2 linked regions of the Saccharomyces cerevisiae S288C genome follow. The protein of the gene in region 2 interacts with the protein of the main gene of each other region in a biochemical or structural test. Each region holds a gene or a part of one and is shown on either strand. Other genes may lie near its edges.

What was found. Proteins that work in one complex are often made in the same cells at the same time.
Region 1: the proteins of APL4 (region 2) and APM1 form a complex in vitro, tested with the Saccharomyces cerevisiae proteins (one study listed by BioGRID).

Annotation. Positions count from the first base shown.
Region 1 is NC_001148.4:49,454-54,306, forward strand, and holds APM1 (Apm1p), read right to left. Parts: upstream 3,219-4,853; coding exon 1,791-3,218; downstream 1-1,790. Other genes in the region: CUB1 (Cub1p), read left to right, coding at 1-1,505; THI21 (bifunctional hydroxymethylpyrimidine kinase/phosphomethylpyrimidine kinase), read right to left, coding at 4,045-4,853. UniProt on the Saccharomyces cerevisiae protein: Component of the adaptor complexes which link clathrin to receptors in coated vesicles. Clathrin-associated protein complexes are believed to interact with the cytoplasmic tails of membrane proteins, leading to their selection and concentration.
Region 2 is NC_001148.4:622,711-630,038, forward strand, and holds APL4 (AP-1 complex subunit gamma), read right to left. Parts: upstream 4,258-7,328; coding exon 1,759-4,257; downstream 1-1,758. Other genes in the region: YOP1 (Yop1p), read left to right, coding at 817-867, 1,001-1,492; CSR2 (Csr2p), read left to right, coding at 5,170-7,328. UniProt on the Saccharomyces cerevisiae protein: Adaptins are components of the adapter complexes which link clathrin to receptors in coated vesicles. Clathrin-associated protein complexes are believed to interact with the cytoplasmic tails of membrane proteins, leading to their selection and concentration.

The sequences.
Region 1 (4,853 bases), 570 kb from region 2:
ACCAACACGTCTTGACCAAAGTCAGAGAGTTGGACGATATTAGGAAGAATAGTCATGAGACGCCCGCTAAGAGCGCCGCCACCCTGATTCATAGTACTGAATTGCATAATAGAGTTGACTCCGTACTGGATGATGTCTTTCAATTGCTCTCGTTGTGTTTTTTAACTGTTGGGCTAAAAAATTCTGCACCTGCGACTTATGCATCGTTATCTACTGTGGAGAGTCTTTTGGAACATTTAAATGAATCAAACGTCTTCACCCATCACGATTTGAGTCCTATTAAGGAAAGGCTGGAAGAAATCAGCAAGATTGTCGAACAAAAAAACTCTAGTCCTGCGTACGATGAGGATGGAAATGATGACCGATTAAGGGAAATCGACAACGAAAGGAAAAAGAATAAAATTGAGGAAGACCTATTACTACGTGCTAAATTAAAGCATTGCAAGGACGAATATGATATATTGGAAGGCAAATTGGAGGAAATTGATCCGTCTTTGTCTACTGTAATGGAAAAGTTATTCCGAATTAGAAGAGGTTTATTGTCATTAGTTGCATCTGCTAAAAAAACAATGTCTAAATCTGATATTAATACCAACTCTTTATTGCAGGAACAAAATGATTTGCAAACGAACAATGAAAGCTTAACGGATGACAAACATTTAGTATCTCAAGAGTATGTCCATGAGAAATTATCAGTTTTGAAGAACGAATTAAGTGAATTAGAATCTAATCGTGACGATTCTGGTAAATTCAAGTCCTTGGAGTCTCATCAGGTGGCAGAAAAAGGCCAAAGTGTCCTTAATGGTTTATTGGATGATTGCCATGATTTAGTTAACGATTTATCACACCAAAAAAATGGCGGGTTGACTTTAGATCCATATTTACAGCCAATATATGAACAGCTGATTGATATAAAGACTACCTTAGAAAATTTAATGATCACAAGAAGATGGACTTTGAGAGAAACCGATTTATTTTCTTACCAAAAAAAATTGAACGAAATTGATAACAAAAGAATCAATGGTAAGTTTCCAACAAAATCTCAGGACTCAAAGGGGCAATCAATACTTTTATACCTGTTGCGTAGATGTTATGCCATAATTTATAAACTGTTGGAAAGTTCAGAGCCCGTATCTGAAGCGTTGCAGCCAATTCACAATCAACTATCTACAGTTCGTCGTTGCCTATTAGAATTGAAAAGAATGGGAGGTGTGAATAATGAAAGAGAGTTATACCCTTATCAAATGAAATTGGCTTCATTGGACAACCTGAGAACTGAAGGTATATTCTATGACTCTGATGGCAATATACCTGAAGGCCAAGGTATATTGAATGCTTTATTAGCAGAATGTTTTGATATCTTGCATGAATTAAAAGTGGAAGCCGAGGAAAAAGCACAGAACTCTACTTCAAGTGATGGTTCTGACGACGATGACAACGGAGAATCAGGCATAGACTCGAACTCAAACGACAGCGAGCCTGAATCTGAATATCAACAGGAATAGAGGAGAGTGTTTCTTTATCTTCCATTTCTCCCTATTTTCTTGGTAGAGGAAAACATTATAAACAATAAAATGAAATACAGAAAGAAAAAAAGTTATTCTCTTATGTCTATGTATATAACAAACCCTGAATGAGCATCTATATAAAAACAAAAATATATAAACAACTTTATGTCATTATCATAATTGTCAATGGGAGGGGGGAGAAAAAGAGGAATAAGGACATACGTACCCTGTGTCTTTGTCCATGCACCGTAGAAATTGCTTTTTTTATATATTTTTCAGACATTACGTCAGCCTTATTGTATAATCATCACCACTTTGCGTGATATATCTTACCCATGGGTAACTCTTATACTGCAATTTGGGTTCGTTAATTTTAAGATAACGTACTTGAATACCTGAAGTAGTAAAGTAGGGTATTTGAAATTTGATTTGGACAGGTCCCTTCAAGATTTCCGCGTTACTTTTTGGCATTGTTCTATTGCCATCCTCGTTATTTGATATTGAAGGCAGTCCCAATTCGGCAGACATTGAGTACTCTTTACCACCGGGAAAACTTCTTATTTTCCATAAGATTGCACTTTTTTCAGGGACATACTTTAGAGACCCGTGTGAATATTTAAAAGTCGGTGTATCCGCGTCGTCCGGGACCGGTATCAATATCTCTACATTAGTTGCAGTAGATTTTCTTTTAATTTGGGCCTTGGCCTTACAGTGAATTTCAATTCTAGAATTCGAATGAACTTGAACGTTTACATCACACCAAATTAACGGTTTTATCGTAGTAGATAGTCTGTAGTTCATTAAATCGAACTTTCCATCAGGAGGTATAAACGTTATAATTTTTTCATTCTCGAATTTGCTTAATCGGACACATTGATGAAATTTCAAATCTTCCAATTCAATATTAACTTTCTTCTTGTTTGTGGCCGATGATGATGTTATTGATGGTTTTTTATCAGTTTCTGTGTTATTATCGGATGTTGTCGCGCTCGCTGATGGGATATTTGTATCATCATCCAAATATTTGGAGAAAATGCCTTTATCATTAATACCTAATTTCAGATCAGGCATACCAGACAATTTTGAGTTAACCTTAACATCGCCGATAATTTCTGATCTCAAAACTTGACCTTTTTGAGTCATGAGCATATTAATAGATTCGACGATATCCAGAAAGGCTTCATTTTTCTTGTGAGTGATGCCTTCTGGCCTCCAACTGACTGAATTTGTTAGTGCGACGGGTGGTCTAGTAGCATTCCTCTTCTTCTTGGCGGATTTAACTAGTTTGAAGGATTTTTGTGTTATGTACTGTTTCAGCATCTTAGTTTCTGTGATCTGTGGTATACCATAATCCATCACTTCGTCCAGTAATTCATATATTATAACAAAATTATCTCTAATAGATTCTTCTTCAACGGTTTTTAAGTAGTCACTTAATACCTCCACTAATTTGTGCAAAAAAGTAAAAATGGCAGCCGCATTGGCACTAAGAGAAGTCACAATTGCCACCACGTATAGATCGTTATGCTGTATAAATAGATATTCCAGACCATTGTGGTTCAAACATGGAGGAATCAGATTTGATTGTTCCTCTAAATCCGAGAGTAATATAGGGAATTTGTCAATTGCAGAAAGCGGAATATCATCTCTATACCTTCTTGATAGGAGTGGTTTCCCATTATGATCGCAAAAATACACTGCAGAAGCCATTCTGTGTCCCTCCAAGTTCGTAATTTACAATTTTCAAAAATACTCCTATATTTAATTGTACGACTTAGTTTCTCTATATGCTTTTTTTTGTTCAGCCCACTTTCCGTTTAACTCTTAATTTTTCATCGTCTAGCAATATTTCAATACGTTCAATTAACATCGCTATCAACGACTTTCAAAGACTATTATCATAATTAGAGATACCCTTTCTCGCTTAGTTGAAGTTACGTCTAATGATGGCTATAGTATATCGAGCGTATTTTATACCATTGAAATATCTTCATCTTTATTACATAACTATTATAGATCCATAGCAGTCCTATTGATAGTATGCAGTAATTTTAGCGCATAGAAAACGTTTATATTGGGTCGAATGCTCAATTATTTTCAGATGGAGGAATACCTTGAAGAAAATATATATATATAAAGACGCACTATTCAAATAATCATCAGTGCCAACATTAACTGTTTCCCTAAGATGCGTTCAGTTGTGATTCTTTTTTTTTTATGTCGCAACTGTCTGTCGTAGTTCTGTCAGCTAATGTTACGAGAATGTCCAACTGCAGTGTTAGGTTTCTGAAAGATGAGAAAGTTTCTGCCGGATAAGTTATCAACGAAATTATGGTGAATACTTGAGGTATGTGACTAGGATGGTAGCGCCGCTAGAACGCCAAAATCAGAACGAAGATTTTGGTTTCTGCCGAACAATTTTTACTATATTAATAAAAATGAAGGAACATTCTTAAATTATTGACACCTATTTTTGCATAATTCATTATTTCTACGTATAACTTTTTGTATATTTTGTAAAAATCGATGTGTCTATTCATTCATATTCTAGAGCGGCGGTCCAGAAGTTAGCTTCCAATTCACAAACTTCAGCATATATTGTGACCAGTGTATCAAGTTTTTCTGGAGGGTATGTTTCCAAGATGTGATTCAACAGCTTTTCGCCTTCAAGCATAGCTTCGTGGCACCATGACGATGAGTAAGTTTCACACCATTCACGGTAAACGGAGCCTTCTGCTGCAGTTACTTCATCCTTGATCTTGGTCAAAGCGTGAACATAGCCCATTAAGCAAGGATTAAGAGCTATAACTAACTCCTGCCAGTTACCTCTTCTGGAAACATCATTAAAGTAACGACAGTAAGCCCTTAATGCAGGACCTCTTTGAATCTTTTGTAAGTAGTCGGGATCCTTAATTCCAAATTCCTCCCTTAATCTCCTTTCATGTTGGCAAAGCCCATTACGAACGCATTCGACAATAACTAGCTCTTTCTCCAGGTCTTCAAGACACGGGGATTTACTACCCGCGATGCAGGAAATCCTGGCATAATTGACTAAGTACAGGTAATCTTGTTCGATAAAAAATTGGAACTTCTTAGGCTCTAAGGAACCGTCTGCTACTTTTCTAACAAAATCATGGTTCACATAGGAGTCCCAGTGGGGCTTAACTTTAGGGTGATTTATCAGATATTTATAGAAACTTCCTCCAGGGATTTTGTTAAGAGAACTTTTGACTGGCTTTTTGTGTACGGCATCTGATGCAGTGAAACATTCGTCACTGAGCATTTTTTCTAATGGAATTTCGATGGCGTAGACATGATTAATTGGCCCGTTGTCCTTAACAGTCT
Region 2 (7,328 bases):
AGTAAGAGACGAAGACAACATTATAATAATTTTCTCAAGACATATATGTTTCACCGGCACGTTTTGTTTTGTCCCCTTTTATTTTGAGCCTGAATACTATGCTTTATAAAACTTTAATGCGCTCAACAAGTGCACCTTCCAACGGAAAAAAAGAAATTCAACAGGGAGCGATGCCATCATCACATGCACGTTTTCAAGTATTTATAAGACTTGCTACTTGCTCGTCCATTCATGACTTTAATGAGGTTCTAATTTATTGGTGCAACTCTTCAAACTAGCTGCCCAATCAGTGCTGGAATGAGTGCCAAGACAAGCGACAAACCCTGTCAATCTCCTGAAAAACAAAAATTAAGTGCTTGAGAAGACCTTCAGAAGAGTTGCATAGATAGGATGGGTGAGCGCAATTACTAGTTACGCAGTAAGTAGGTTATATGGCTGCTGGAGGGGCAGTACTGATTTAATCACAATCCGGATTAAACTTCCTCCTGAAAAAAAAAAAACTACATCAAGTCAAAAGATTTTCATTCACTCTTTGGAAGGCTGTGTGGCATTCTAACCTTTATTTTTTTATCACCATTCTCGAATTTTCGTGGTTCGCTTTCTTAGCGCCGTTATTCTCTCTTCTTGTCCACGTCAAAGGGAGTATGCGTAACCCCTTTCAAGGTTGAACGAAAAAAAAAAAAATATGTCCTTCAAAATTTTTTTTGATTTAAAACTAAAAAACATTCCCTTGAAGCTTGTTATTCCGAAAGAAAGAATCTAAAATTGCAATTGGTAGTGAAAACAAATAAACAAAGACATAACCGCACTCCAATCATGTCCGAATATGCATCTAGTATTCACTCTCAAATGAAACAATTCGATACCGTATGTAAGATGGTTTTATTGGTTCCATCGTCATCATGGTTCAAACAGCCAAATGACCCGACACACGTAACCGAAGCAGTTATACTAACAAGAAAGCTAATTTTCACCCTCCTTGCTACATTTTTTTCTACAGAAGTACTCTGGTAATAGAATTTTACAGCAATTAGAAAATAAAACTAATTTGCCTAAATCTTATTTAGTTGCTGGTTTAGGTTTCGCTTATCTCCTTTTGATTTTTATTAACGTCGGAGGTGTAGGTGAAATTCTTTCCAATTTTGCTGGGTTTGTGTTGCCAGCATATTTATCGTTGGTTGCTTTGAAGACACCAACGTCCACCGATGACACACAACTCTTGACCTACTGGATTGTCTTTTCATTTTTGAGTGTCATTGAATTCTGGTCCAAGGCAATTCTATATTTGATTCCATTCTACTGGTTTTTGAAAACCGTTTTCTTAATCTACATTGCCTTGCCTCAAACTGGTGGCGCTAGAATGATCTATCAAAAGATCGTAGCCCCATTGACCGACAGATATATCCTAAGAGATGTTAGCAAGACAGAAAAGGATGAAATTAGAGCTTCCGTCAATGAGGCTTCTAAGGCTACAGGTGCTTCTGTTCATTAAGAGGCAACTCACCTATATCCTCAAATCAAACTCTCGTTTTTGTTCTCTTTGTTATCTATTCTATTGAGAGCATATAAGTACATATGTTATTAGTTGTTATATATCGCTACTTAACATATAAAATATTTTGGAGTCGTTTATGGTGTCCCAGAAGATAGCATTTCTATTCATCGTGTTGTGTCGTGACGTGTCTCTTGATATGCGCGACAGACCATCCAACGCAAGGTCATTAATCATGTTATGTTCTGTAATTTTAAAGGCATTTTTTATAGAGTTTCATCGAATTTGTGATCGAACTGTTCATTGGTGATAGATGAAGAGCCATTTAAATGAAAATCCAACTTAACTCTTAACTTCAGTTTCCCAGATCCAGAAATTTTCAATGACTGCTTGCAAATTTGGCTGGCGTTTATTGTGGAAGATGGATATAACTGGCCTAGTGTTAGCTTTTGAGCTTTAGGAACGGCACAGAAAGTTTTTAAGTCAGATATTAAAGACTTTGCCTGAAAATATAAATCCAAATGTGCTAATCCAGAGTTTGCAGAGAGCAAGGAAGCATATACATTCAGTGAGGAACTGTCATATATCTTGTTGGCATCCAATGGTAAGGTGACACCTGAGTTTGCCTCCACTGCCGACGAATGATTGATTGATTCTTCCTTGTTCGCATTTTTGGGCACCTGAGCAATGTCATTCTTCTCTCCAAAAATCTCTTCTAATATGTCAATTGGTTTCACATTGTCACCAGTAGAAGCCTTGCTTTCAGCCTTGCTATCCTCACCCAATAAATCTGACAGCAGATCAACTGGTTCGTTGGAGATAAGGTTTTTCGATAGAGCTTTTCCATTATCCTGTTCCTCGGTAATTTTTTCAAATTTAGGCATTGTTTCTAAAATGATCTTCTTCACAGAAATTGACTGATTGAAAAATATCTCGTATTGATTGCTTTTCATTTGCAGTGATAAATCAGTGGAATCCGTGTAGCTCAATATCAGTTGTCTTAGTTTTTCAATATTTTTCGCGTCATGGAACCTCACAGATAATTTTAATGCTGCTGTTAAAATGTAATTGATTATCTTCAGATTCGTTGCTGTGTAGAGTTCTTGCAAAGTTAGTAAGTAATCAGTAATAGATGACTCATTGATTATGTCTGCACCATTTTTATTGCCCTCGTTGAGTACTAAATCGCCATATTCGCCAATGCACCAAATCAAAACCAACTGCCAACCAATATTTTCCTCGGAAATCTCCGCTGATGTTCCATTTAGTGAAATTGTCAGCATTTTCCGTAAAAATTCAGATTTGTCGGATAACTGGCTCGTATTATTTATTATGATTAGAATATCATTAATTTTTTCATAGTTGATAAACGATCCCACTAATTTTAAGATATTAAAGAAAACATCTAATTTCCAGCTTTCATCTTTGACAACGCGGGTATCAAAAGTGTCAATTAAGTGATCTATAGTGTATATTATGAGATCTTTTGAATCTTCATCCTGTTTTGCCAAAAATTTCATCAATTCGTTAACCAATTCCACTAAATTTGAATCGTCCAAGATGGCGAAGCTCAACTCTAACGCTCTCATGCGGATCGACACATCGGTATCCTGCAGACAATGAGAAATGAATTTTCTATGCCTTTGTACTGCGGTAGGCTCTTGGGGAACAACTTTTAATAAGGTGTTTAATGAAACGTATTTAGTATTATTATCTTTTCCTGCAAGAAACTTGGCCAAGATGTTAATACCAAGGACACGTAGAGGCTGGTTCAAATCCAACGAAAAGATCGTCTTCACGGTCTCATAAAGAATGGCCTGTCCGCTGTTTTTCGTTGAATCCGTATTCGTCGCAATACGAGTCAATAAATCGCAGAAATTATCTTTGTAGTCCAAAACATTGTTCGAATTTAAGAGCTCACCAACTTGAAAGTATAGTTTTAAAGTGTAAATTATTTCACACTGCAGAAATGGGTCACAAATACCTTGGACATCATATCCAGGTTCAATATTTTTAGAATTCATATTTTCCAAACGAATGAAAAAATCACGCAAAAGTAAAGATAATGGAGACAAGATGTCATTGCTGTAATCAATACCGTCTTCATCTTCATCCTCATCTTTTTTTCTGTTCAATCCAATTAACAAAATAGATTGTATGATTTTCGTAACGCCTAAAAGTACACCGTGAGTACATATTGAATGACTAGACAATATCTTAGTAATGTCTTCGATGTTGAAGATTTCTAAAAGTGAAACGTCTTTGAAAATTAGTTTGGCAGCACATTGAAGCGCTTTTTTCAAGAGGAAAGGGTCTCTTGAATTTTTGATGATATTTTCGACGTCTGGGTATAAATCTCTGGCTAATTCAGGGGAGCTCAAAAAGCCTAATGAGGTTAGTGCAAGTGACACTGCATATTTGTTGGGATGATGCAAATCGTTGTTCAACATGTTCGTTAAGAGTGTCAATAAATCTTCAGATTCGTCCAACAATAAAGTTGCGGCCAGATAGCCTAATCTTTTATCGACAAAATCGTCAGAAGCAATTAAATTGATAGACTCCACCTGACCGAAATGTGTCTTTTCCCCTAGAATGTATAGATACAGAAGTTTCTGGATATTTACTCGCCTTTTTTCATGTGGTAGATGGTCATCTCTCAATTTTGTCCTAATTTTAGCAGATTGTTTCGTTATAATTGCCCTTTCATCTGCCAGTGTTTTGGCACCACGAACGTCTTTGATAAAGCTTCTCAACGAAGAGCCCATTATGGTGTTCAGGTCTTTCTCGTTGCTAAATCAAGATGGTCAATATTTCTTCTCCAATATTAGCAGTATAAAATCTCGAAAAAGTATGATTTAGTTGTAATTCTCATATGGCCAAGCCCACTAAATTCAGTGAATACAAACAGCTAAGGACGTCAAAACTCAGAGTCGGGTAATCTTCATTTGAATTTTTTTTCTCTTAAGGTAGATAACACCAAAGAAAAGCAATCAGTAGCAAAATATGGACTTTAACGCTGTCAGTTCCAATTGAGAAATATCGTAAAGAAAGTTAGTTGTTTTCACTCGCAACCTCTCTACCTTCGTGGCCTAAAATAGATTTAAATAATCGAATAAACGGTTTGTTCTTATATGTGATACCCTCTTTCACCACCTTCCTGTAGCCCCAGTTGGTATTACTTGTCCCAACCTCATTCCTCTTTCCATTATCAATTAATCGGTTTGTGTTGTTCGTAGCAGGACCACACTTCCGGAATTATATACATTTACATGTATATAGAGAAGAAAGCTTCGGCGGCTAAAGAATAGAACCATCTATTACCCGCTCGCCCGGTCGTTTGGATGCGTGGGTGGTATAGTTTCTTTTTTTTCATTTTAAGGGATACCGCTCCCCACGTACCCCACGACCAGCCCTAGTGGAATAAGAAATGCAAAATCCGGGGTTGGCGCAGCGATTCTGCACGGCCAAACCCTGGGCTTCTTTATTTTGTAGATCTGCCAAATGATGGCTATGCCTTACTCGGTATCACATGGAAAAGACCCCCGGCTTATTGAATCCCGTCTCCCGTTCCCTGCATAGTTGTCACGGTTTGGACTATATATATCGTCGTTTCTCTGTTTTATTTATTATGATGGCTCTCCAAGGGTAATCAGTCAGACTAGTAAGCAAAGTCAATCATGCAATCTACTGTCCCAATAGCAATTGCGAGCAACGGCAACAAGAGAGATGTCGTCCAGAACGTTTCTGCAGGCGACGAGGGTGATATATTGCAAAGGCTAGCCCGTAACAGAGAGATGATTTCTACCTCCCTCTCGCCACAAAAATCGTCAGGATTTAGTGGTAGAAGGAGGTCATCTAGTGTTAGGGACGCCCTTTCTTCTTTTTTTGGAACTGGTAATAGTCCAACATCTAGTATGGACGATTATTCCAATTTGATGAACCGTAACTATTCTACCGCATCAACTGCCATGTGTAGGGGGAACAGTTTTCCTTCAGATGTTGGCACTAAGGCTTACAATATTACGGGATCTTACCAACCGGATAGGCACAGGAATTCTGTTCCGTATACCACCATAGACCAGTTACACACAAGGCAAGACACCGGGTTGAGGAGAGAGTCAGATCCAGTCGCGGCAAAACAAATATCTAGTAATAATGATATTGTTAGGTCATTCATAACACATCATGCTAGTAATAGCACTATGTTTATTAATAGGGTGCTATCGGACTATTTAGCGGATCGTGGTTTCATCAAGCAAACACCGTTATATAATAAGAAAAGTGTGCTGGAAATTTCCATTGCAACAAGTGCAGAATCAGTTTTCTTGCCAACTACAAAAAGTGATGAAACAGAGTATCTATCACTGATTCATGGTTCTTTAAATCAGGCGCGAACACAGCCTGTCGGGTCCACTAACACTGCAGAAAGTGATTTCCTCCCTTCATGTCCTACGATGGACACTTTGAATGAAAACAATGATTTATCACTATTTCCGTTACATACACAGCGAACCAGCCCCTCTAATACAGCAAGGACAGGTAATGCTATGGATACAAGCAATTCTGATCGTGCTTCTCCGGCCTCGAACAATAACACAACAGATGCGGATTCCTTTGTTGCGAGTGGCAATAACAACCCTATGAATAATAACAATTCTCCCGCGAGAAACAGACATCCTAATTCTCACTCGCGTTCTCTTCCTAATGCTTGGAATAGCCAAATGCCTTCATTCAGCTTTGCATTGATATTTTCCCTGAATAAATCAACTACCCTTTCTGATATTAAAGTAGAACTCACTTCTAACGTGAGAGTGGTGTGGTTCAATGGTCTTCCCCCTACCAAGAATGTTAACGAGGAATGCTATAATATAGGTTCTTTGGACTGGACCTTAAATGCAGACAACTTTAATCTTTTCATTCCGCAAGGCGCAAAGTCTCCTCTTGATATCGTTGAAAATCATTCCAATAACAGGAAATTGAAAGTGCTCCAGAAATTATCGATGAGGAAACGCCGTTCTTTCTCGAATAAAGCAGTTCTTAGGGAAAATATATTAAACAATTTAAATGCCTCGAATTCTACGAACAAGTTAAATGCTGGTGTTTATGTCTTTACTATCCCCATAGTGCTTGCCAGTCGTATTCCTGAATCGCTTTACTACCCATCAGCGAGGGTATCCTACAGCTTAAGATTAGCGACAAAATTGAAGGATGAACATACACAGTTGGTTGCATCACGGCCACGTTCTTCTTCTATCTCTTCTCCTCAAAAACTGCGTTCATATTCCTGTTCTGATTCTTATGAATATTCTCAAATTGATGACACCATAGAAGGAGAAACCTACAATAACGACAAAAATTCTACTGGAAAAATCGCATTTCCCTCCTCATGGTTAAAAAGTGCGAAGGGGCGCTTAAAAAGGAATAATTCTAACGGAAGGTCAGATAATAATGGCGCATCTTCTAGTGGTTTAGCGATGCAACATGATTCTGAAGACACTATAAATTTACAGTACCCGCTTAATTTGGTGAGAACTCCGCCAGAAATCTCTGTCACTACAGCAAATAAGCCACTTTACATTAACAAGGTTTGGGAGAATTGTCTTTCTTATGAAATTTCATTCGCCCAAAAGTATGTGCCCTTGAATGGTGAAATTCCAATCACAATTAAAGTGGCACCTCTAGTAAAAAGTCTTAGTGTCAAGAGAATTCGTGTTAGTTGTAGAGAAAAAATCTCCTACAGGAGTAAAGACTATCAATATGATTTTGACCAGTTGGATCCATTGGCTTCAGATCCTTGCAATCCCTATCATATGAGATATTTAGTGAGAAAAAAGAA